Linked DNA regions of Cricetulus griseus. The main gene of each other region encodes a partner of the protein of the gene in region 2 in a complex. Links are inferred from orthologs where the notes say so. Each region holds a gene or a part of one and is shown on either strand. Other genes may lie near its edges.

Evidence for each region.
Region 1: the proteins of Bccip (region 2) and Tent5a are in contact, whole or in part, in a crystal structure (PDB 8EXE), measured with the Homo sapiens proteins. The link is inferred for Cricetulus griseus from reciprocal best matches to the Homo sapiens genes BCCIP and TENT5A. Residues at the interface, in NP_510868.1 of Homo sapiens: Val57, Asn58, Ile59, Glu60, Phe61, Glu62, Ala63, Tyr64, Ser65, Leu66, Gln146, Val149, Leu150, Phe152, Cys153, Glu154, Lys155, Asn156, Cys157, Glu158, Lys159, Glu163, Lys167, Leu203, Ala204, Ala206, Thr225; in NP_060103.2 of Homo sapiens: Arg87, Gly88, Asp139, Glu151, Gln155, Lys158, Lys184, Glu185, Val188, Gln189, Lys190, Met191, Val192, Lys193, Val194, Cys195, Asn196, Asp199, Trp201, Asn213, Arg289, Lys295, Glu331, Arg334, Gln341, Asn342, His343.
Region 3: the proteins of Bccip (region 2) and Tent5c are in contact, whole or in part, in a cryo-EM structure (PDB 8EQB), measured with the Homo sapiens proteins. The link is inferred for Cricetulus griseus from reciprocal best matches to the Homo sapiens genes BCCIP and TENT5C. Residues at the interface, in NP_510868.1 of Homo sapiens: Val57, Asn58, Ile59, Glu60, Phe61, Glu62, Ala63, Tyr64, Ser65, Arg136, Gln146, Cys153, Lys155, Ala204, Gly205; in NP_060179.2 of Homo sapiens: Asp90, Asp92, Glu102, Gln106, Arg109, Lys135, Glu136, Val139, Gln140, Lys141, Leu142, Val143, Lys144, Val145, Cys146, Thr147, Asn164.

What each region holds. Positions count from the first base shown.
Region 1 is NC_048597.1:195,536,168-195,543,227, forward strand, and holds the start of Tent5a (terminal nucleotidyltransferase 5A), read right to left. Parts: upstream 4,126-7,060; 5' UTR 3,876-4,125; coding exon 3,856-3,875; intron 3,669-3,855; coding exon 3,122-3,668; intron 2,046-3,121; coding exon 1,269-2,045; 3' UTR 1-1,268.
Region 2 is NC_048596.1:67,158,966-67,165,967, forward strand, and holds the start of Bccip (BRCA2 and CDKN1A-interacting protein), read right to left. Parts: upstream 4,068-7,002; 5' UTR 4,037-4,067; coding exon 3,875-4,036; intron 1-3,874. UniProt on the Homo sapiens protein: During interphase, required for microtubule organizing and anchoring activities. During mitosis, required for the organization and stabilization of the spindle pole.
Region 3 is NW_023276806.1:56,479,855-56,487,067, forward strand, and holds the start of Tent5c (terminal nucleotidyltransferase 5C), read left to right. Parts: upstream 1-3,246; 5' UTR 3,247-3,501; intron 3,502-7,213. UniProt on the Homo sapiens protein: Catalyzes the transfer of one adenosine molecule from an ATP to an mRNA poly(A) tail bearing a 3'-OH terminal group and enhances mRNA stability and gene expression.

The DNA.
Region 1 (7,060 bases), on a different chromosome or scaffold from region 2:
TTTTAATTTGTCATTGCAATATGCCCATGTCTTCTATGATCCTACCATAAACATAAAATGCACAGTATTTCAAAATTTCCTATTTGATACATTGTTTTAGGTAATAGACAAAGGAGTGTGTGTATATACACACACATATCATATATATGTCACATATATGGGTGTGTATATACACACAAACAATATACGCACACGTACCTATGATAACATCACACCAAACAATATCAACTTTATATAGGTTTTTGCCAAGAAAAAATAGGGCATTTCCTTCACCATTCACAAGCTTATATGTTGTTTTATTTTTCTTGAGTCCCTGATAAAATAAAATAATCATTAAACCATAAAATAACCTTTTCCACTTCAAATCCTCTGAAAGCAACAGGCACTTTGATGTGTATTGGTGTGTAACAAATATAGTAACTCTTTCTGTACCCTAGTCTATCACTTCTACTTGGGGATTTCTGTTAAATCTTTGGTCCTTGAGCATATTTTCTTGGCTACAGCTGGTTTTGCTTGCGTCTTCACATTTTAAGAACGCGAGCTATACACAAAGCTGGAATTAATGGGTTGTTATCATCATCATTGAGTTCCACTGTTCTTTACGAGAACAGCATCAAACTACTACTGTTCATTTGGATTCAGCAGTTTCTGTGAGGAGAAAGGGGTCCTTCCAGAGAAAGCACTTTGTTGCAAGATAGATTGTAGTCCCCAGAAAGGAGCCCCTCATTTCCCATGTTGTTACTTTCTGACATCCTCAACTGATAGACAAGGATTTTCTCCGATGTATTTTCCCTTCTGGGAATGCCATTTTAAAAGTTTTCCCACCATCCCCTCTCCCCTGTGGCAGAGCTATGGGAGTAGTTGCTGCAAACCCATATTGTCAACAATCAAGCCATTTATTTTTTAAATCCCCTTGTTATCTTGGGAGAACTTGGCTGCTTTTACTAATGGGCCTCTTGTTTGAAGGTACAATCCAATTGGGTAGAGACCACAGGGGTGGGTGGCTAAGGAGGGTGACAACTTGAGATCATGCTCCTTCCTGTATCAATGGAAAGATCCATAAGCCTTTCCAAGCAATCAGGAGCATGCCCCCAGTGCACAAAACGCATCCCTAACTAGGGATGGGTCACTCCCTTTTGTTGTTGTTGTTGTTTTGTATTTTTCTTTCTTTCTTTCTTTCTTTCTTTCTTTCTTTCTTTCTTTCTTTCTTTTTGTTTGTTTCTATCTTGTCTGAAATGGCTTCCCCACAGGACATTTTTAAGTGATTTTTAATTGCAGGGTAACCAAGTGGAGTATGTCTGCTGCTGGCATGTGAACACTGGCTGAACTTGTGCAATGTAGTAATTGCTAAAGTTAGCATCTGCAACATAGGGGGCGGGCTGGTAATAGCAAGTGACATTAGCCACGTTAGGGATGACATTTTGGTCGGCTAGCACCCGGATTGCCAGCATGGTGATAAGGTTTAAAGTCTGCCTCCTTTCATGTCCCATCAGGCACACTGTACTCTCATTTACCACTCCATGAAGGGTCATGAGATAGTCATACTTGCGGTCTTCCAAGCCCACGAAGTGGTTCTGCAAGTAGGATTCCAGCTTTCTCTGCTGCTCTCCAATGTCTGAGAAGTCGATAAAAAACCTGGAACACATGTACCTCTGGAGGGTCTTGATCTCATCCGAGGCGGGCCTGAAGCCCCTCACTAAGAGGTTGCAGTACTTAAGAAGGCCTCCCCCTCTTATTTCCTCTGGGTTCCTGGTAGCAATGATCTTGTTGCAAAGGTGATCAAAGGCTTCGTGGAAATCCCCGTAGACACTCTCGCCAATTATTGTGGGATGAAATGTTTCTGTCATTGGGTTCTCAGAACACTCGTAGAAGAGGAGGAGAGAGTCTAATTTGATTTGGAAAGAATCTACACTGAACTCGAACTGCCTCCGGAGAGAATCCACAAACTTCAGCTCCACGTTTTTGCCGCTGTTGTTTGACAGGGATATGAGGCTCCACCGGTCCGAGTCGTTGCACACTTTAACCATTTTCTGTACGTAAGCTTCCTACAGTTTAAAAGATGAAACAAGATGAGCAAAACAGGCGGGGAGGAGGGGTGTTGAAGAACAATAAATATATCTCAGCTTCTCGGCTGAGAATTATTTCGCTGCTTCCTGTTTGTTATGTCAAGTTTCAGCAAAACACTACCTATGAGCTTAAACAGTCTTAGGAAAACAGGAAAAAAAAATTTAACGAGTAGTTTTGCCGTCTGGGAAAGAGACTAGAAGTAATAGTTTGAGGCTTTTGGCAGACGCAGCAGAGTACTAAGAGGTTCTGTTGTCATGTCTGACTTCAAATGTTATTTTTTGAAGATGGTCTAATAGGCTCAATATTCACTCAGTATCCACAGAAAAGCAGACAGTGTTGGGAGTGTGGCTCTGACCCTAGTCCCCAGCCAGCCACCGGTTCTCCTCCCCCATAGGCAATCAATCTTATCAGTCTCTAGTATGTCCCTCCGGTGACACTCTACAGTTACAGCTAAAGAGGAACTAAATTGCCTTCAGACAACTTTAATTAATTATACAAAATGCCACCTAAACCGAAGGGGAGGGGCATAATATTACATCCTCAACATGTAAATTAGCCGGGAGAATCACCAATATTTTAAATGCTGAAGTCATTTGAACCTTGAGTAGGAACCTATTCACATTTTCCAACACAATAAAAACCCATTAACTCAATTCTGCTTCGAGCTGCTATTTTCCCAAAGCCTAGATCACAAGATGACTCAAAAAAAAAAAAAAAAAAAAAAAGAATGTTTACATCATTCCAATCTTCCACCAATCAGAATGTACTCTGGACAGGAGTCCAGAAAGGAAAGTCAAGAGTTAAACCATACAGATAAGGAAGAGAAGGGAATGCAAAGGAGGAAGCAGAGAGTTGTGACACTGAAGCTCCTGGAAAACTGAAACACTCCACACCATTCTCTCACCTTACTTCACTCGTGGAAAAAAAAATCAAAAATAAATAAGCGTCCGCACCGGGGCCGAATTAGCGGCAATTAAGGCAAGTCAGGCTTGCCTTCTGTCAGCACCCCAAGCCCGCCTCTGTACCCAAGCCCATCATCTCCAAGTGGCTTTACCTTGAGAGTGAGCGGTGTGATCTTCTCCTTGTTCACCCCTTCGGGCAAGAAGTCCAACAGGCAATCCAGCACGACATCCTTCACAGTCTGAAACTCCTCTTCCCCACGCAGATCCGCGCAGAAGATGAGGTCCAGGTCCTTGTAGCCCAGGCCACTGTCCTGGTGCAGGACATGACTGGCGGCCGAGCCATTGAGACGCACGTCGCGGACACCTATGCTCTTCTCCTCCAGGCGCCTCCGCACCACCTTCACAATCAGGCTCGGCTGCAGCTCGAGCGTGGGGAAGTTGCCGCGCCCGTGGATCGGGATGGTCTCGCTCAGGATGCCGTCCAGCCGCTGCACTTGCTCCCAGTTCAGCACATTGCAGTGAGCCGTGGGGCTTTCGCAATAGTCCAAGCAGCGGTCGCCGAAGCTGCTGCCGCCGCCGCCGAAGTCACCACCCAGGGGGATGTAGGGGCCGCAGGTCAGCTCGTCCTCCGCCATGGCAAAGTACCCTTCGCCCTCGGCCATGTAGTGCCCGCCGAATGCCACTTGGCCTTGGTCAGTCCTAAAAGATAAGAGTGGGTTGAGGAGAACGGCAGGGAGGTGCGCGGGTGCGGGGACAGGGACCCTCCGAGGGGCCTGGGCTTCACCTCCCCGATTTTGACCCGCCTGGAGCTACCCAGAGTAGCCCTCCTTCCCCGACCCACCCCAGTGCCCAGCCGCGCGCCGTGCCCCGCAGAGCAGCCCCGCACCAAAAGTATCTCTGATGCATCTGGAAAGCGCAAGCGAGAGTCCCGTCTGTGTCACCTGGAGACGGCCGCCCCTTCTAGGAGCGCAGGCGAGCGAGGAACCGCGAGGCGGACACACTTCGCAAGAGCTGCGAGTGCGCTCCCGGCAGCGGCCCGCGACTTCTCCGCGCAGACCCCCGCCGCGCCCTGAGCGTTCCGCCCCTCGCCCGCGCCCCGCCCGCGCGCCCCGCTGCGGTGGTCTCGGAGGTGGCGGCTCTCGATGCCGCCAATGCCGCCGCGCACACTCGCGTCTCTGGAGCTTTAGCAATTGTGCGGGGGAAATGTCTTCAGTACTTTTTTTATACCGGGCTTCTCCGCGCTTCCGGGGCCCCAGAGAGCGGCGATCGCCACACCCTCTCATTTGCATAGGGCACCGCCCCCAGCGCCACCCCCGCGGGCAGTCGCTGGGTGGACAGTCGCCGAGCTCGGAGCTGCTGGCTGCCGGCCAGGGTGCGCAGCCCCTGGCTGTGTGCAATAGCAGATGCCTGTGGCGCATACGTGTAGATTTATCTATTTCTGCACGTCCTCGCACACACCCCCAAAGAGGAGACACTTTTGAACGCCCCAAATGTGATAACCAGCCATCAAAACTGGATCAGGGTTAAAAATCGCACAACTCCAGAAACTTCCCAAGCCTTGTCTTCTGGTCTGGTGCAGCGCGTCACTGCCGCGTAACTCTGGGTCTCCTGGAGGTTCCTCCAACAGTGTCCGTTTGTGGCTAGACGTCCGATTCCACTATGGACTCTGGGCCAAGTGTGGTCTCCAGAGGCAACTTGTCACGCACATCAGTCTCTGTGCGGGAGGGGGAGGGTTTGCTGAGAACTGAGTTTCGATTCTGGAAACCTCGAGAAGTGCTGGGGAAGTTGGGGGCCAGCCAGCCTTAGTGCGCATCTAGCTACTGAGGGCGAGCGGGACGGGAGCGCGTCACCCATCGCGCAGCTCCGCGGGCGCGTGGCCAATGGCGGGGTCGCGGAGCGCAACCCCAGCAGTGTACGAAAGAGGCCGCCAGGGTGGCGGTCCTTCCGCGCAGACCTAAGAGGCGAAGCGCGTTCCTCGCAGCCTCTGAAGTTCTCAGTTCTAAAGTGAATAAAAATGTCAGTGATCTAGGTAGGGTCTTGCTTCTTACCAGACAGAAAGGACAAATTTAAAAGATGCGAAGTTTCTCCCCTCCAGCTTTAGACGCTGGTGTAGCTCTTAAGGATTGGAAAGGTTATCTCCGCGCTCTGGCACCATGGTGTTTGTTAGAAAGCTCCCCGCTTTTGCTTGCCCACTTCCTCCACCCGCTGCCTCTTTCCAAAGTAATGCTCAGCCGCCCTAGCTCCAGGTAGAGGCTGTGGGCCTCTGCAGGCCGGATAGAGAGGACAGGCCCTGAGATGAACAAACATTTCCCCCAAGGCCCTGCACAACTGCAGAAACCCAGCCTCTGGATTTGGGGAGCTCTAGCCTAGAAGTCCAACCTGTACCGCTCTGAGTTGAGGGATGGGGTGCGGGGGTGTCGCCCACGCAGATCTAGCTGCGGGACAACGCCGCCCCCTGCTGGTGCCCTGCGAAGCCGAGTCCCCAAAATGGAGAAACTCGACTGGAGGCCAGGCTTCCTTAGCATAAACAAGGCCTAGGCCAAATTGGGTTGAGGAATTGAAGGAGCCCTGGACCCCTACGTTGTTCTTATAAGCCCACCGCTTTCTTTCAGGACGTGTCCAACCATGAACTCTGCCTAACAACACATTTCATATATATGAAAAGTGTGTGTGTGTGTGAGAGAGAGAGGAGAGAGAGAGAGAGAGAGAGAGAGAGAGAGAGAGAGAGAGAGAGAGAGAGAGAGAGAGAGAGAGAGAGAGAATATCGCTGAGCAGCTCAGAAAAGCCTCAAATTCAAGCATCCTCCTGAGTGACATGATTACATGTGTGAGGTACTACTGAGCTCTTTCCACACACACCTCACAGTCTTCCAGTCAAGAAGGCCTTCAGTGTTATAGGGGTTTGGAAACAAAGGACTAAGAATTAATGGGAGCCTCACAAATTCACAACCAGTAAATTTTGAGGTCAGGCCTTGCACCCCCCACAACCATTTGACTGTGAATGTTATTTAGTCTTCATTGACTGAATGAGATGTCCCTGGTTTAGTTCTTCCTTCCCAGTGGAAACTGAAGCAAGCATTGTGGGGAGGGAGCCAGTGGGAGAAGAGAGTACTGTGGATATAGCTCAATGATAGAGAGTTTGCCTGGCTCTGAATTTAATTTCCCTACACACACACACACACACACACACACACACACACACACACACACACACGGAGAGGGACATAATATTTTTGATAGATTGTCAGGAAATATTTTCATCAAAGGCTGATAAGAATTTTGCCTTTTCTTAAAATAATAATAAAATGACTCTCCATGCCTTAAATACACTGCATTGGAAAAACAACAACAATAGTTTAGCTCCACTCTCATTATTTTGTTCTGTCTTTTAAGCTTCCAACAGAAGGAGTGAGAAAAACAAAGTCCAAACTACAGTAAGCCATAAGCAGGCTGAGTTATTTGCTCACACCTGCAATGTGTCCTGTGGGGCTGAAGAAGAGCTTCAACATAATTAGAAAGTTGTCAGGGGATCCTGGCAAGAGGGCCCAGCCAGAGCTTGCACTGCACTGGCAGTGACTGAAGCCTGTTCTCTAGGTGGGACCCTCTCCTCAGCAGTGGACACCCTTGTCTGCACAGCTGCTCCCGAGGCCTCTCCCAAGAAAAGGAAACTTGGCTGAGAAATAGGAGGTCGTGGAGGGCCCACCGTGTCACACCACATGCTGGAAGAGAGAGTCCCTGCCACGGGTGAGGAACACTCTGTTTCCTCCTAGCTAGCAGGAGGATTCTTTGTGGATAACACTTCCTTAATAAGAAAGCATTCCCCATTGCCAAGCATAAACTAGACCCTCCTGCCTGCCACCCACACTGGGACATCTGGGGCAACTCACTCTTGGCCGTGCCAGGGAAGACAATTGAATTATTGGGTTAATATATGCCTGCTGCATAGAGGCTACTTGTTACACACTGCTGAATGGAAGAATATGCTCTTCATTGTCCCTCTCCTGTCGTCAAACCGAGCTAATATTTATATGCTGGAAAGTTGCAGCCATCCTTGCAGGAAGCTGAAAAGCTTGCACTTGTAAACACTACCTT
Region 2 (7,002 bases):
CCTTCAATGCCAACTTGCAGGTTTGGGGAAGGGGTATAAAAACCTCAATTTTGAGGTCATCCTGTTCTTCACAGGCAGACTCTTTCTCAAAGAAAAAAAAGGTAAATACTTTCAAAGATTGCCACCTAGACAGATTACAAAGGCCATTCATACCATTTCCTCATGTGATGCAAAAGCCTGAAGGTACAAAACACAGTGACTTGATTTAAATGTGAACACAGCCTCATCCAGATAAAACTGTTAAGCAGCCACAAAGAAGGAAAAAAAAAAAAAGATTATTCACCTGGCTTCAAAAAGCAATTGAAAAGACAAGATTACTTCTAAGTCCCCAGAAACTGCCTAGAGCTTAATTGACCCAGAGATGTGAGGCTACATTCTGTCACTTGGCAAATATTTACTAAGTAACAGCAGGTACCAAGCCTTGAGAGGAAATGGTGAAGCCTCGCCTGGTGGCACAGGCCTTCGATCCCAGCACTCCAGAAAATGAGGAAGGGCGATGGGAGTTGAAGGTAAAGATGTGAGTTCAAGGTCAAACAAGTGACATAGCAAGACCACACCAATAAATAAATAAATAGGGGATGAAATGGTGAGCAAAGCAGATGGGAATGACTGCTCTTGTGGAGCAGACACAGCAGACAGAAAACAAGTCTAAAGTTTCAACTGTATGTGCCATTCAAATGGGGGAGGGACGGGCAGAGAGAGTGCAGCAGGTAAAAGCACTTACTGCCAAAACTGACTACGTGAGTTCAATTCCTGGACTGAGATGGTGGGAAGAGAACTGGTTGCTGCAAATTGTCTTCTAATTTCCACATGTGTACTATGGGATATGAGCATGTGCATTTTCCCACGACCACGAGCAAGTACATAAACCCAGAGAAGAGGGATTTTAAATAAATCTGTAAAAGAATATGGGGATGATGGTAAGATAGCTCAGGAGTGCTGGGCCGTGGTGGCGCACACCTTTAATTCCAACACTTGGGCAGAGGCAGACGTATCTCAATGAGATTCAAGACCAGCCTGGTCTACAAATGAGTTCCAGGATAGCCAAGACTATTACACAGAGAAGCCCTGTCTCAAATAAATAAATAAATAAATAAATAAATAAATAAATAAACAAACAAATAAATAAATACAAAAAGACCCACACAGTAGGTAAAATCAGAGAACCGACTCCTACAGCTGCCCTCTGACATTTACACATCTGGCTATGGCACATACACATACAAATAAATTGAAAGTACATACTTAAAGCCGGGAGTTGGTGGCACACACCTTTAATCCCAGCACTCAGGGAGGCAGAGGCAGGGGATCTCTGTGAGTTCGAGGCCAGCCTGATCTACAGAGCAAGTTCCAGGATAGGCTTCAAAGCCACAGAGAAACCCTGTCCCGAACCGCCCCCCCCCAAAAAAAAAAGAAGGCATATGTCCCCCAGTCCTCTAACCACTTTGGTAAGCAGCTAGCAACAGAATCCAAGAGAAAAAGCTACCTCTGCAGGACCTGAGCTATACACATTCCTTTATTCTTGATAGACCATTGTTTTTTAAAAGGTTTGAGATTGATTCTGATCTTCCAGGATAATTTTCATGGACTTTTACATCAGAGAAATTAATTGTGGGTGAATAAATGTATCAGAAAATGAAAGCCTTCTTCAATTAAATGAAGGAAGAAATACCCACCAAGGATTTCCTCTTCTCTTCACGGTACTGTCAAACAACAAACACAGAAGCTGATGGATCCCCCCCACCCCACCTTTGTTTCTTTTTTCCTCTACATAACTATATATACACATTTTGCCTTAACTTGCTGTGTGGGCTAACTTGTAAAATAGTGACAATTCCTAAGTTTATGGTGCTGATATGAGAATTAAATGAGCTAATACAAAATGCACAGAGCCTGGGGGTATATATAGTTATTGTTATTATCACTGTCAATTTCTAGAGGGTAAATTCCTACAAGTTACTGAGTCAGGAGTTATATGTACTTTAAATTTTGATAAATTCTGTCAAATTACCCTCCAAAGAAGTTGCACAGATTTATGCTTCCACTAACAGAGCATGTAAGTGCTTATATTGCTACACTATTATCAATGATGGCATTCTTTCTGTTGCTGTGAAAAACAGCATGACCAAAAGCAACTTGGGAGGGAAAGGGTTTCTTTTATCTTACACTTCCAGGTAATTCTTCCTTGTGGAGGGAAGTCAGGACAGGAACTCAGGGCCAGAACTGACTGAAGCAAACCACAGAGACCACTGTTTACTGGCTTGTTTATACCACCCAGGACCAGGGGTGGCATCACTCACAGTGCACTGAACTCTCCCATATCAATTAATTAAGCAGATGCCCACAGACAAGCACACAGGCCAACGTGATTGAGGAAATCTCTCATCTGTGGTTCCCTCTCCCCACATTTTATAATTACAGTACACACATTTTTAGTCACTGGCAATCTGTTAAGATTTTCCCATGTTAATGAAAGAAGTGCTGACTTCTAAAACCCTAAGGTAGCAAAACAGCTGGTAAACATTTTTCTAAGTGAAAATGTTGAGATGGTGTTCAAAGCAAGATAGACAAAGCAAAGCAATGACTTGGAAGGGTAGACAAGCTACATATCCACATCATAGCCTCATTCCCAAAGCCGCACTACAGTTCAACTCCTCCTCCCTTGCACATTCACGTCAATGACCATTTTCACTCATTCTCTCTTGCCTGTTCTGAGCCAGCCATCCTGGCTGAATCCATATTCTACCCCACCCCCACCCCATCCCCCTGTCTTTCAAAAACAGGATTTAGGATTTTTCTACAAAGGAAATAGGAAGCCATTAGAGCATTCAATGAGGGAGAGTAGAATAGACCAGCCAGATCTCTCTGGCAGTAAATGGAGTACAGACAGTAGAAGGACAAAAATGGAAAGGCATGACAGTGAAAAGCTACTATAGATGGCTGGAAGTATGACTCAATGGTAAAGTGCTTGCCTACCATGCACAGTATACTGGGTTTGATTCGCAGCACTTCAAAAACAACAAAATAAAGTTACAGGTAATTTCGCTGTGGCTATCCCAGTCTTAATTTCATCTAAAAAAAAAAAAAAAAAAAAGGAAAACCTTTATAGTAACCAGACAAGAGATGATGGAAGTGTGAACTAGAATAGTAGCAGGATCAATATGTGCCTGGATACTGAAGGAAAAAGCTAATAGAATTTACTGATGGACTGGGTGAGGGGTGAGATAGGAGGCATAACACCGGCAAACTGGGGAACTATTATAAACCCTGCTTTGGACCGTCAAGTCTGAAGTCCCTAGACAGCAATTGTCTTGAACACTGTTTGAATCCTAATCATTCACCTAGAAAGAAGGGCTTCAACCACCGGAAAGTAGGTACTAAGAAAGGACATCAGTTCTGTGAGACCACAAAACCAAATCTGACCACGTTGGCTGTCCCAGGGAGGCAGGAAATACGGTCTAGCTGTGATTAGACAGACAGACAGACAGACAGACATAACGAAGGGGAAACTATGCAGGATGAAGAGCGTTTGAAGAGTGTAGGACAATGCAGGTAGCCTTTACGAAACTGCAAAGGGCCAGAGTGAGCAAGCCAGTGTAGCAGGGAGAGGAGAGAAGAAACTTCGTCGGTACGCTGGGCCAGTAAAGACTTGGGCCACTGAAGTAAGTGTGTGTGGGATTGGCCGGCTTCTGGGGGATGTAATTCACCCGGGCAGGGCTTCAAGGAGTTATGTGTAGAAAAGCCTGAGGTGAGAACCTGGGTAAGAATGTACCACGTAAGGTTCAACTCCTGAACCACAGCGACTATCACTTTACCACAGCTTCGGTTGCCTGAATTTTGTTTTCTCCCAAAAATATGGTCACATGTGCCTCACCTCGTCCACGATCTCGTCTTCATCCTCTTCCTCGTCACTGTCTTCATCGTCTTCTTCCTCACCCTCCACCTCATCCTCTTCTTCCTCCTCGCGCTGGTCCTGCTGTCCCAGAGGCCGCTGAACCCCGTTTCCCAACGCTCGCTTCTTAGCTTTGGATGCCATGCTGCCGGCCACACTGCGCCTGCGCAAATCCCGCCCCTGTCCTTCCGGTCTATCGTTGGCCTAGGGGTAAACAGGCTCAAAAAGTTCGCCGCGGAGTCGGCGCGACCCAGACAGAGCCCTGGATGAGTCCCGCAGAACTAATGTGACAGATTTATCTTCACCGCGGGGTCATGGTGTGACCCTCTCTTCTTCCCTCCATCCTCCTGCCGTCCTCATTCTCTCCGGGTCTTTCCTGTGTGCGCAGTGGTTGGGCCCATCCTGCGTTCCTTCCGCCGGCGCCTAGATGCCTGTGCGCGTGCACAGCCAGATGTGTACGGGCGGCCCACGCGCCTGAGGTACGAGCCCGGGGACCGCTAGCTGCCGGGTGAGGGGCGGCTCCCGGTTGTCTGTGCTCAGCAGCCCCGACAGGGACCGCGAGATTCTTGCCCCGCGGCGTGCAGGTCGGTCCTGCTTCTGAGCCCGCGAGGTAGGTGTCGGGCTCAGGACCCGACTAGGGCACAGGTCTGTGGACTTGCACGCAGGCCCTAGCGATCCGTGACTCCCGTGCAAAGAGGGGCTGACCGGCGCTCCCGGAGTCCGCGCCAGAAGGCCGGCTGATCCTGGCAGGGGCCGGGCCCATGCCATCTCCCTAACAAAGTTCTCAGTAGACAAGACGACCACATGGGACCACAGTGTCGTTAAAAGACTTGCTTGAAAAGAATAGAACCGAAAGAAAGGGATTGCGGCAAGTTAGCGAGTGTTACCCCGCCTCTGCCACTACTTGTGGATAAATGAAGTACTGGTCCAAAGTTTCAGATTTTAAGAGAAGCCAGATTTTTGCAAGGAGCATCCTGAAGGTTAGAACCTTCTACCAGTCAGGTTTATCCTACAGTCTGCTGACTTGAAGCTCCTTGTAAAGGTTATTGAGAAAGATCATTAACTAGAGAAAACATTAACTTCCTGACAAGAGGCTCTGTGATTCTCCCCCTCCCTTTTTTTTTTTCTTTAAAATTACGGCAGCATATGAGGTGTGTTTAATTCCGAAACCAGAGTGAGCTGCCCCTAGAAGTAAGGAAGCCTTTGCCAGAGAAATTTAGGGAATGTGAATAGCCCCAATGATTCTTCATCAGTCAGGACACCAAGGCCCCCATTAACCCAGAGTTCCCATGACGGTGAGATCTAGGTGTCCCGGGAGCTTCTTATGTACCAGTCTATATCGTGGACAGTAATGACACCAGGATTACACCTCTGATAGAGTAACTTAAAATGGCTACTTCCTAAATCCAGACCTCTACTTGGGTTTTGTAATTGTCCAAAAAAACATATTCTTGTAATGCATAACTATGACAATGCTAATAATAGAAAAAAGATTTAAAACATGTCAATAGAATTGCACTGAGACTCATGAACAATTTTCCCCCAAGTCTTTATAGTTTTTGTTGTTAGTATGGTAAAATATGCATAACAAAATTTAACACTTAGTGCATGGGCTTTTTTGTTTGTTTGTTTTTTTGGGTTTTTTGGTTTTTTTGAGACAGGGTTTCTCTGTGTAGGTTTGGAGCCTATCCTGGTACTCGCTCTGGAGACCAGGCTGGCCTCGAACTCACAGAGATCCGCCTGCCTCTGCCTCCCGAGTGTTGGGATTAAAGGCGTGCGCCACCAACGCCCCGTTGGTGGTTCTTGGCTCATGTTTATCTATACTGTTTCATAGGCATCACCACTATTAAACAGTTCCCCAGTATCAGGCTGCAAGATGGCTTAGTGGGTAAAATGCTTGATATACCAGCATTTCCAGCACCCACACGCTGCAACTGTAACCCCAGCACTGGGGTGATGGGTAGGACTAAGACAGTAGATCCAGGACTTGCTGAGCTTTAGGTTCAAGAGAGACCTGTTCTCAAAAAATGAGCTTAAGATGATAAGAGGCAGCCAGGCGTTGGTGGCACACGCCTTTAATCCCAGCACTCGGGAGGCAGAGGCAGGCGGATCTCTGTGAGTTCGAGGCCAGCCTGGTCTCCAGAGGAAGTACCAGGATAGGCTCCAAAGCTACACAGAGAAACCCTGTCTCGAAAAACCAAAAAAAAAAAAAAAAAAAAAAAAGAGTGATAGAGGACAGTGCTCATCATCAACAGGTACACAGGCACACAAAGAAAAAAAAACACAGTTCCCTAATATCACTTTCCACAGCTCCCTGGCAGTCACCTACTTCATCTGTATAAATCTGACAAGGGACCTTAATCACAGTACTCATGCATCATGATTTCTTGCCTAAGGCTGAACAGTTCCATTTCATACATGGTCTTCATTTTCAAGTTATGTCTGGACACTATTTGCTCATAGGTTTACCTATTAGACAGTGCTGCCATGAACATGAGTGTACAAATACCTCACTCGAGTCTCTGCTTTTGTTCTTTTGGAATCTGTGCCTAGAAGTGCAATAGCATAATCATGCAACTAATTCTATTTTTAAGTTTTTGAATGACTTTGTTTAATTTGCAAATTTTCCTGCATTGCTTCACAAGGTGGAAAAGGGGAAAGGCCTCTCTTTGTGCCATCGGATTAGTCCCTAATTTGGAGCCTGTGGTCAGGGTATGCACAGATTAGATGGCCTACCTGTGCTTTACTGACTACAGGGAACATAGAAGTAGATTGACAACTTCTCATTCCTCTTTAGCCCAGTATTTGTCTTAAAGGTCAGCTAGTAGCCAGTGGTTGGGTGGATGAGCCCTAGGCTTCAGATCTGGATTCTGGTTCTATTATTTATTCTGCTGACCTTGGGCAAATAAAGAGCCGTGGTTTCCCTTCCTGTAAAATGAGGATAATAGCTGCTTTGAAGACTTAAGTGAGGATTGCAAAATGCTTAGTCCACTGTGACAATTTGATCTGCCAATTTGATGGGATTGTGAGATACACATAGCTGCTCTTCTGCGTGTCTAGAGCTCAGCAAAAGTTTTGTGAACAAGCATTCTTTGGAAATAAAGGGTTTT
Region 3 (7,213 bases), on a different chromosome or scaffold from region 2:
ATGAGGTAGAAAGAACACCGTGTATTAAAAAAATAAAACTGAAACAAAAATCTTTTAAAAGTTTAGAAAGTCTCCAGGAATTTTAAAAATTGAGGGGGAAATGCACACGTGTGAAGTTTCTTTTCCAGATCCTGGTTCTCCCATCTCCCCATCATAGGATTACCTAAGTTGATCAGGAAGTTAACAAAATGTCACCTAAGCGGAAAGCCAGATCAAACTTTAGGTTCCGAAGTCTACTTGTAGTAAAAAAAAAAAAAAAAAGCAGAAGGGACTAAAAGGGAAGAAAAGGGGCCAGCTGGAGGGGGGCCTGGTGGAGCCCTGAGAGGGTATCGAACAAAATGTATGACAAACATGCGTGTATGAAATGTCATGGTGAAAACCACTAATTTATATGCTAACTAAAACATAATAGTGTATCAAAACCTACCTTTGATGCCAGTATCTGTGTCAAAAGCCAAGGTAATAATTTGCTTAAGTGTTATTGAGATTGGAACTTTGTAGAAGGTCAGTTATTTGCTCAAGGCTTGAAACTTAATTCTCAGAAGAAGACAAAAGCAATTATCTTTGTGGCTTTGGGATAGGTGGAGAGTCCTTACACAGGACACAAAACACTAGGCCTTAAAAATAAGCAAAGATTGATAAATTGGGCTGATTAAAAATTAAGAAATTATTTTAATCAGAAAGTAACATTAAACTGTAAGTCAGCCACAGGTTGAGAGAAAGTATTTGAAACAAAGGACTTATATCAAGAATATGTAAAGAACTTGTAGAGTTCAAACTGGCAAACGACATGAATAGATACATCCCTTAAAGACCATCATAATGGATGGTAAACATCTGAAAAGTTGCTCAATCGAATTGATCACCAGAGAAACAATGTTTAATTACAATGAAATGCACATCCCTGTTTTTAATTTAAAGAGGAAACACTTGGGCCCGGGAGATGGCTCAGCGAGCAAAGCTGCTTGTGGCCAAGCCCGATGAGGACCTGAATCCAACCCCCAGATCCTACACCTTGGGAGGAGAGAACCCACTCCCAAGTGCTGTCCTATGACCTCCACATACCCACTGTGGTATGCACACCACCCTCCAACAAGAAAATATAGTTAAAACATTTTAAACACCTTGATACCAAAAGTGGTAAATATGTGTTATCATCACCAGGAATCTTACAGTACTGGTTGAACATAAACAGTTTATCCCTTTTGTTTTAAAAAATGTATCTATTTTTTTGTTTTATGGTTTAAGTTTTTATTTTTTCCTTGGTTATTTTTCATACTCAGATCACTGGCAATATATTTAAAGCTTAACATGTGTATACTCTGTAAACCAGAAGTTCCAATCCCTAGCATGTGTGTGACATGAATGATGCTTCTACACATAGAAGACTATTTTCAGCAAATTCACTATGGACTGTCCAAAAACCTGAAGCAACTGAAATGGCTACCAAACAGTAAATTGAGAACATAAACTGTTGGTTATTGAACGAATATGCAGTAGTGAAGAATGAGTCACTGTTACATACAACAGAGAAATCTTACAGACAGAAAAATTCTCACTCTCTATTTCAAGTTCATGTCAAGTTCAAATACCAGTGCAACTGAACCCTATGAGATAGTGAGTGGCAGGAGCCATGGCTAAGCTGGACTATTGTGGGTGACAGCCCTGTGGGTACTCACACCCATCATTCAGCACACAATAATAGACACTGTGAGACCATTCAGTGCTCACACCATCAACAACAAAACTGACCACCTACCCCTGAATTTGTGTTCAAGAACAGGGACACCCAATCTCTGTAAGTTCTCATACTGATGTCTTATACTGTTACAATTTCCCCTCCCCCCACCAGAGAAAGCCTGTACTTGAGAACTCTTCGCAGCCTAGCAGACACTGCAGGGCACTCATGCTAGGCAGGGGTGGTAGGAGAGCAGAGAACACTGATTCAGGAAGTCATCTTGCACCCCAGGTACCCAGGAGAGAGTCAAAGGAAGCTCAACAAGTGTTTATTAATGACTGCTTTCTGACTTACACAGCACCTGGCATGCACTTTATTTCAAGCAGTGCATGATTAATAACTATTTTCCTAATTTTGTTGTTGTTGTCGTTTTGTTTTCGAGATAGAGTTTCTCTGTATAACAGCCCTGGCTGTCCTGGAACTCACTCTGTAGACCAGGCTGGCCTCGAACTCGCAGAGATCTGCTTGTCTCTGCCTCCTGAGTGCGGGGGGATAAAGGTGTGCACCACCACCACCACCACCACCACCACCAGGCCTATTTTCCTAATATTGGTCTCAGTTATCCCATCCTTACTCCTATCCTGCAGATGGGAAGTAGAGGTTCATGGAGGATAGGTTAAGCCAGTCAGGAAGGCTGGGCCTGGTAGGCCACTCCTGTAATCCCAGTCGTGGGAGGTGCACACTGGAGGATCAGTTAAAGGTCAGCCAAGGCTACTTAGAGGCCTGTCTGGGTTCAGGAGACATTGTCTCAAAAACCCAAACCCCAAATAAAACAAAAACAGCTCCTCTCAAGGCCCTCCAGATATATAGTGGTGAAGGAGATTCCCACTCATTAGCCTGAATTCTGAAGCAGAGCGAGCCATCAACCAACCACGTGTAGGGGTGTTAAGGGCAGTGTCCGGGGTCCCCCGCCCGGCGGGTATTAACAGGTCACAAAGCCCTTTGCCGTTCGTTCTGAGGGCCTAGATGCTGTGCTTTAGGCTTTTGTGATGGGTTCCGGGGCCACTAACTAACTGCACACAGGTGGTCCCGCGGCCAGAAAATCAGCTGCTTCCTTTCCTCCAGGACCACGATCTCACCTCCAGCCAATTTGCTCGAGGAATAAGATTTCCAGGACCCACCTAAAAGTTTTCTGATTTCACAAACACCCCGCGAGACAGGCGTGGGCTTCCACTCCCGGCTCCCGGAATCAGGGAGCCACTGGTGCCAAGAGCGCCCAAAATTCAGAAAGAAAACGCAACCCACAGGGAGCAAGAATGGTGGAGGTGAGAACTCTCGGGGCAAGGGAAGGCAAAGACCAGGAGCCGCAGAGAAGGAGGCGAGCGGACAGAGCGAAAGTGTCCCCTCAACTCCTAAATTGGTGGCGACACAGCCCCCTCTCTATTGCGCCTGCGCAACGCTGCCTCCGGGCTACCCCGCCCCTTCGCGCCTCCGGAGGTTTACTTGTCTCTCGGCAACCATTGACCCGCAGAGCCAATCAGAGGGCGGCATTCGCCCGGGCCCCCGCCGTTAGCGCCGGGCGCAAGGATCCCGCGGGGCCGCGGCCGGCGCGCCCCGCCCTGGCTCCCCCGGGAGGCCGGCCGCGGGCGGGGGCAGGGGCGGGGAGGCGCGGGGGAGTGGTCAGGCCGGTTAAGATCGGAGGGGGCGGCGGCGGGACCGCTCACTCGCGGCAGCTGCCTGGGGGCCATAGTCACCGCGCCGCTCCTGCTCGGGGCTGCCCACGCCAACCACCTGCCTCTGTCGCCTCCTCTTCCAGCGTCCAGGTGAGTCTGCGCTCCTCTTCCTCCGCAGGTGTGAGGATGCTGCTGCGGTCCAGCGGGGAGCCACGCTCTCACGCTCCCGGGTTCGTCCCAGCAGAGCCTGGTGGGATTCCCCGGAGATGGAGGGGAGACACCGGCAGGTGTCAGGACCCGCACGGCTCCTGCGCCCCTGGCTCAGGCTACCTCCGTGAGAGAGCGCAAACTTTTCAGAGACTATGACCGGGGTCTGGCAAACTTGGGCGAGCTCCTGCTGGCCCGGCAACAGGAGAGTGGGTGGCGATCACTTCTTGCTCTTTCATTGACCCTGCCAGTAGGTCCGTCGGCTCTGCGCTGCGCCCCTGTGGTGCGCACACTGCAGCCAGAACCGGGGCGGTTTTGAACCCCGCGGTTTCGGCGGCTTAGATGGAGACGCTGCGGTCCGGGGTTAGAGCCTGGCAGGCGAGGGGAGGGCAGCTTCCTGGGCTCAGTGCCCAGGATGGCGGCAGAGATCATTCTCTCTTCTGGGACTGTGGACATTGCGCGCGGCCAAGAAGCTGCGCGTCTCTCGGAAACTTCTCGAGAATACGGCGACTGAGAAACCTGGTTCCTCCCCTTGGGGATCGAAAGTTGCCTACCGCGTGTGCTGAAAGTCGTGCAGAGTTAGTTGACTCTGATAGCGGTGCTGTTGGTGACTTAGAGGCGCGGCTGCCCGTTGCGGTGTGGGTACCCTTTACCGCCGTTCGCGAAGAGGGTGGGTGGGACATCTGAGGAAGTTGAGGAACCTGCAGTGCCAGCTGGTAGCCCTTACACCTAAGTTCTGATACTCAGTGAGCGGGCGGGCGGGCGACCTCAAAGTCAAGGGGGGGGGGCGCTGGTGAGGAAATGCCTATTTGGTTTTTCCAGAATATAGAATTTCCACCTGAGCCGATTGTCAGATCTGGGTAGTCTCAGCCCCTTTTCTCCCCTCTCCCCCTTTAAATGTGTAGAAACCCTTCTGCAGGGCCGTGACTAATTCCTGGTCTGAAATCCTTTTTGCCCCTCGATTTGAGGATAAAGTGCTGACAACGAAAGACTTAATAGACTTAACAGATTTGCAAAGAACAGCTATATATGTAACCGTTTGAATTGTGACGAGTTTGGTTCTGGAAGTAAAAGTCAAGATGGTTAGCTCCTCCTTCCAGCTGCCCCCTGGAAGGAGGGTGAGGGTGGCCATTGCTGGCTACAACTTCCAGTGTAGTTTGCTTGGCAAGGCAGTGAGTGAGCCAGAAAGCTTGCCAGGCAGCCGAGAGGGTGGAAGGAAAGCTTACCAAGAATTCTACCGTGCTGGAAGTCTCCAGAGGTGTGATTCCCCGCCCCCCCCCCACGCCCCACATTTTACCCTGCAGTTGAAGGGTGTGGGGTGGGGACTAAAGAAGGTTGAATTTCTTCTCCCTGCGGCCAGCTGGACCAACTGTGGTTCTGTCTTTTGCCATTCTTGTTTGTGAAGATCAAGTTCTTCGTAACTCTGAGCAGGTAGCTGAAGGGACACCTTGGTTTTGGAGTACCCAGATGTGAATTAGGAGCTTTTTGAAGATTCTGATGTGTAGAAGATTTTGATGTTTGTAATAATTGTTCCAGTATCTACACAGAATGTCCCTTACTGTCATTAAAATTATGGAGGTGGGGTGCTCAGCTATCTCTAGACTGTTACCAAAAGAGAGGTCCCTACTTTTGTAAGTAACTTTAGTGTGTGCACCTAGAGCAAATAGTCACACTCTTTAGGGTGAGTTTCTCCCATAATACCTGCCTTGTATCTGGAGATCAGTTTGTGAACTCTAGAGGGAAGGGTTTGGCTCTTGGCCTGTTGGTCAGAGAGTGTGTGGAGTGCTAAGGGCTCACTCTTCAGCTCCACTGCCAGTATCATTACCAAGCTTTCAGCCTGACTTGCAGCCTCCTGCATTCCCTATCCGTCTCCCAGTCAAGCACACACTTAGTCTGCATCCTCCAGTGTTCAAGACCAGGCAGATTATATGTGCCGTGCACTGCCCACCAGACAGTTCAGCCACAGCTCAGCCATGAAGGTGATTTAAAAGTGGGCTGTTGTGTGGTTAGTGAGGCTCAGCTGTTACAGAATCAGAAAACTGCATTGAATGTTTCCTTCCTTTCTTCCTTCCTTCCTTCCAGCTCCATCCACTAAGTAGTACCTTTTTCTTCATCTTTCTTCTTTGCTATGCCATCCTAGAGTCAGCCAATGAAGAAGGGCAACCGGGTTAGATCGTTGTTGCCTATATTACTGAGAAAAGCTATATAAGCCTGAGGTATGGTGGCGTTTGGGAGTTTATCTCCTTCCTGTCCCTGAAACACACAACTCTCTCTCTCTCTCTCTCTCTCTCTCTCTCTCTCTCTCTCTCTCTGTGTGTGTGTGTGTGTGTGTGTGGTGTGTGTTTGTGTGTGCTGTGTGTGTTTGTGTGTGCTGTGTGTGTGTATGTGTTTAGTCTGAGGCGTTTCCTGGACTAAGACTGGTCTGTTGCTCTCTCTCATTATTGAAGAAACGGGGAAATGTGGAAAGCTGCCCTCCACCATCTTGGTGTTTTGACTGTAGCTAATGAGGTTGTATTATGATGACGCCAACTCCTCCATATTTAAAGAAGTGCCCATGAGTTTAAAGCTACTTGAGACAACAGTAAAGCCGACCTCTTAATCTCTTGGACCATAGGTTTCTCCCACTTTTTAACCTTTTGATGGGATGCATTCCTTGTAAGGAAGCTTTTATTTAGAATTGAAATGGTCATAGAAAGTAGCATCTTTACATAACCCAACTGCATAAGGGGACCTTGTGAACTGTTTCAAATTAGTATTCTGTACAGCTGGCCCTTGTAGCTTGCTCTTGAAGTGTTTGCAGAACTTTTTGGAACAACAGAAAAAAAAACTTAATATGAAGAAATAATTACTGACATGAAGCAGATCTGTGTGCAAGGAAGCTTTATGGTTTCAGAGCATTTTCCACTGTGGGTCATTCAGCTGCAAGGAGGTGCTTATTTCTTGGATAAGGGCAGGCAGGCAGGCAGGCAGGCGGGCGGGCGGTTGGGTCAGAAAGTACTTCCTAGGTGGTATTTGGTGCCAGGTGCTTGGGAGGCTTAGGGAGTGGTATGTGAAAAGCCTGTGGAAGAGCTTTGGAGGTGAGAGCGGCTAGGCTGCCTTTATGATGCTCTTGAAGAACTTGTTTTTCTCTCAGTTGTCTCGCCCCCCTCCTCACACATGGACCCCAGAAAAGTAGGATTTCTGGTCACTCTATAGAGTCCTGATCCCTGCCTAGAGAGAGTGCATGCATGGCCTTGCATGCAGACATATTCCTCTAAAGAGAATGCACCTTCTACTGAAGGCTGCCTGTTGCTCCTCCCAGACAGAGTAGGAAGCTCGATTGGATTGAGTGTTCTGCTGGGTCAAGTCCTGGAGGATGGAGCTTCTTGCATCAGAGGCTCCTGGTCATCTTTTCAGGGAAGCCTCAGCAGTGTAGGTTTGGAGCTGAGGAGCAGTGAGTGCAAATAGATTAGCAGCTGAAACTCCTAAGCCTGGCCAGCCTCTAGCCCCACCCCCCAGCTCTCCACCCTCCCTCCTGTCCTCCCAGCCCCAGCTAGCTCACTCAGCCTTTCTCTCTCCGTGTTCACTCAGCTGCTGGCTCTGCTGACTCGTTCTTTTTTTATTTTTTATTTTTTTTGTTTCTCACTGTCATCACTGACCTGGTTTAGGGGACTGT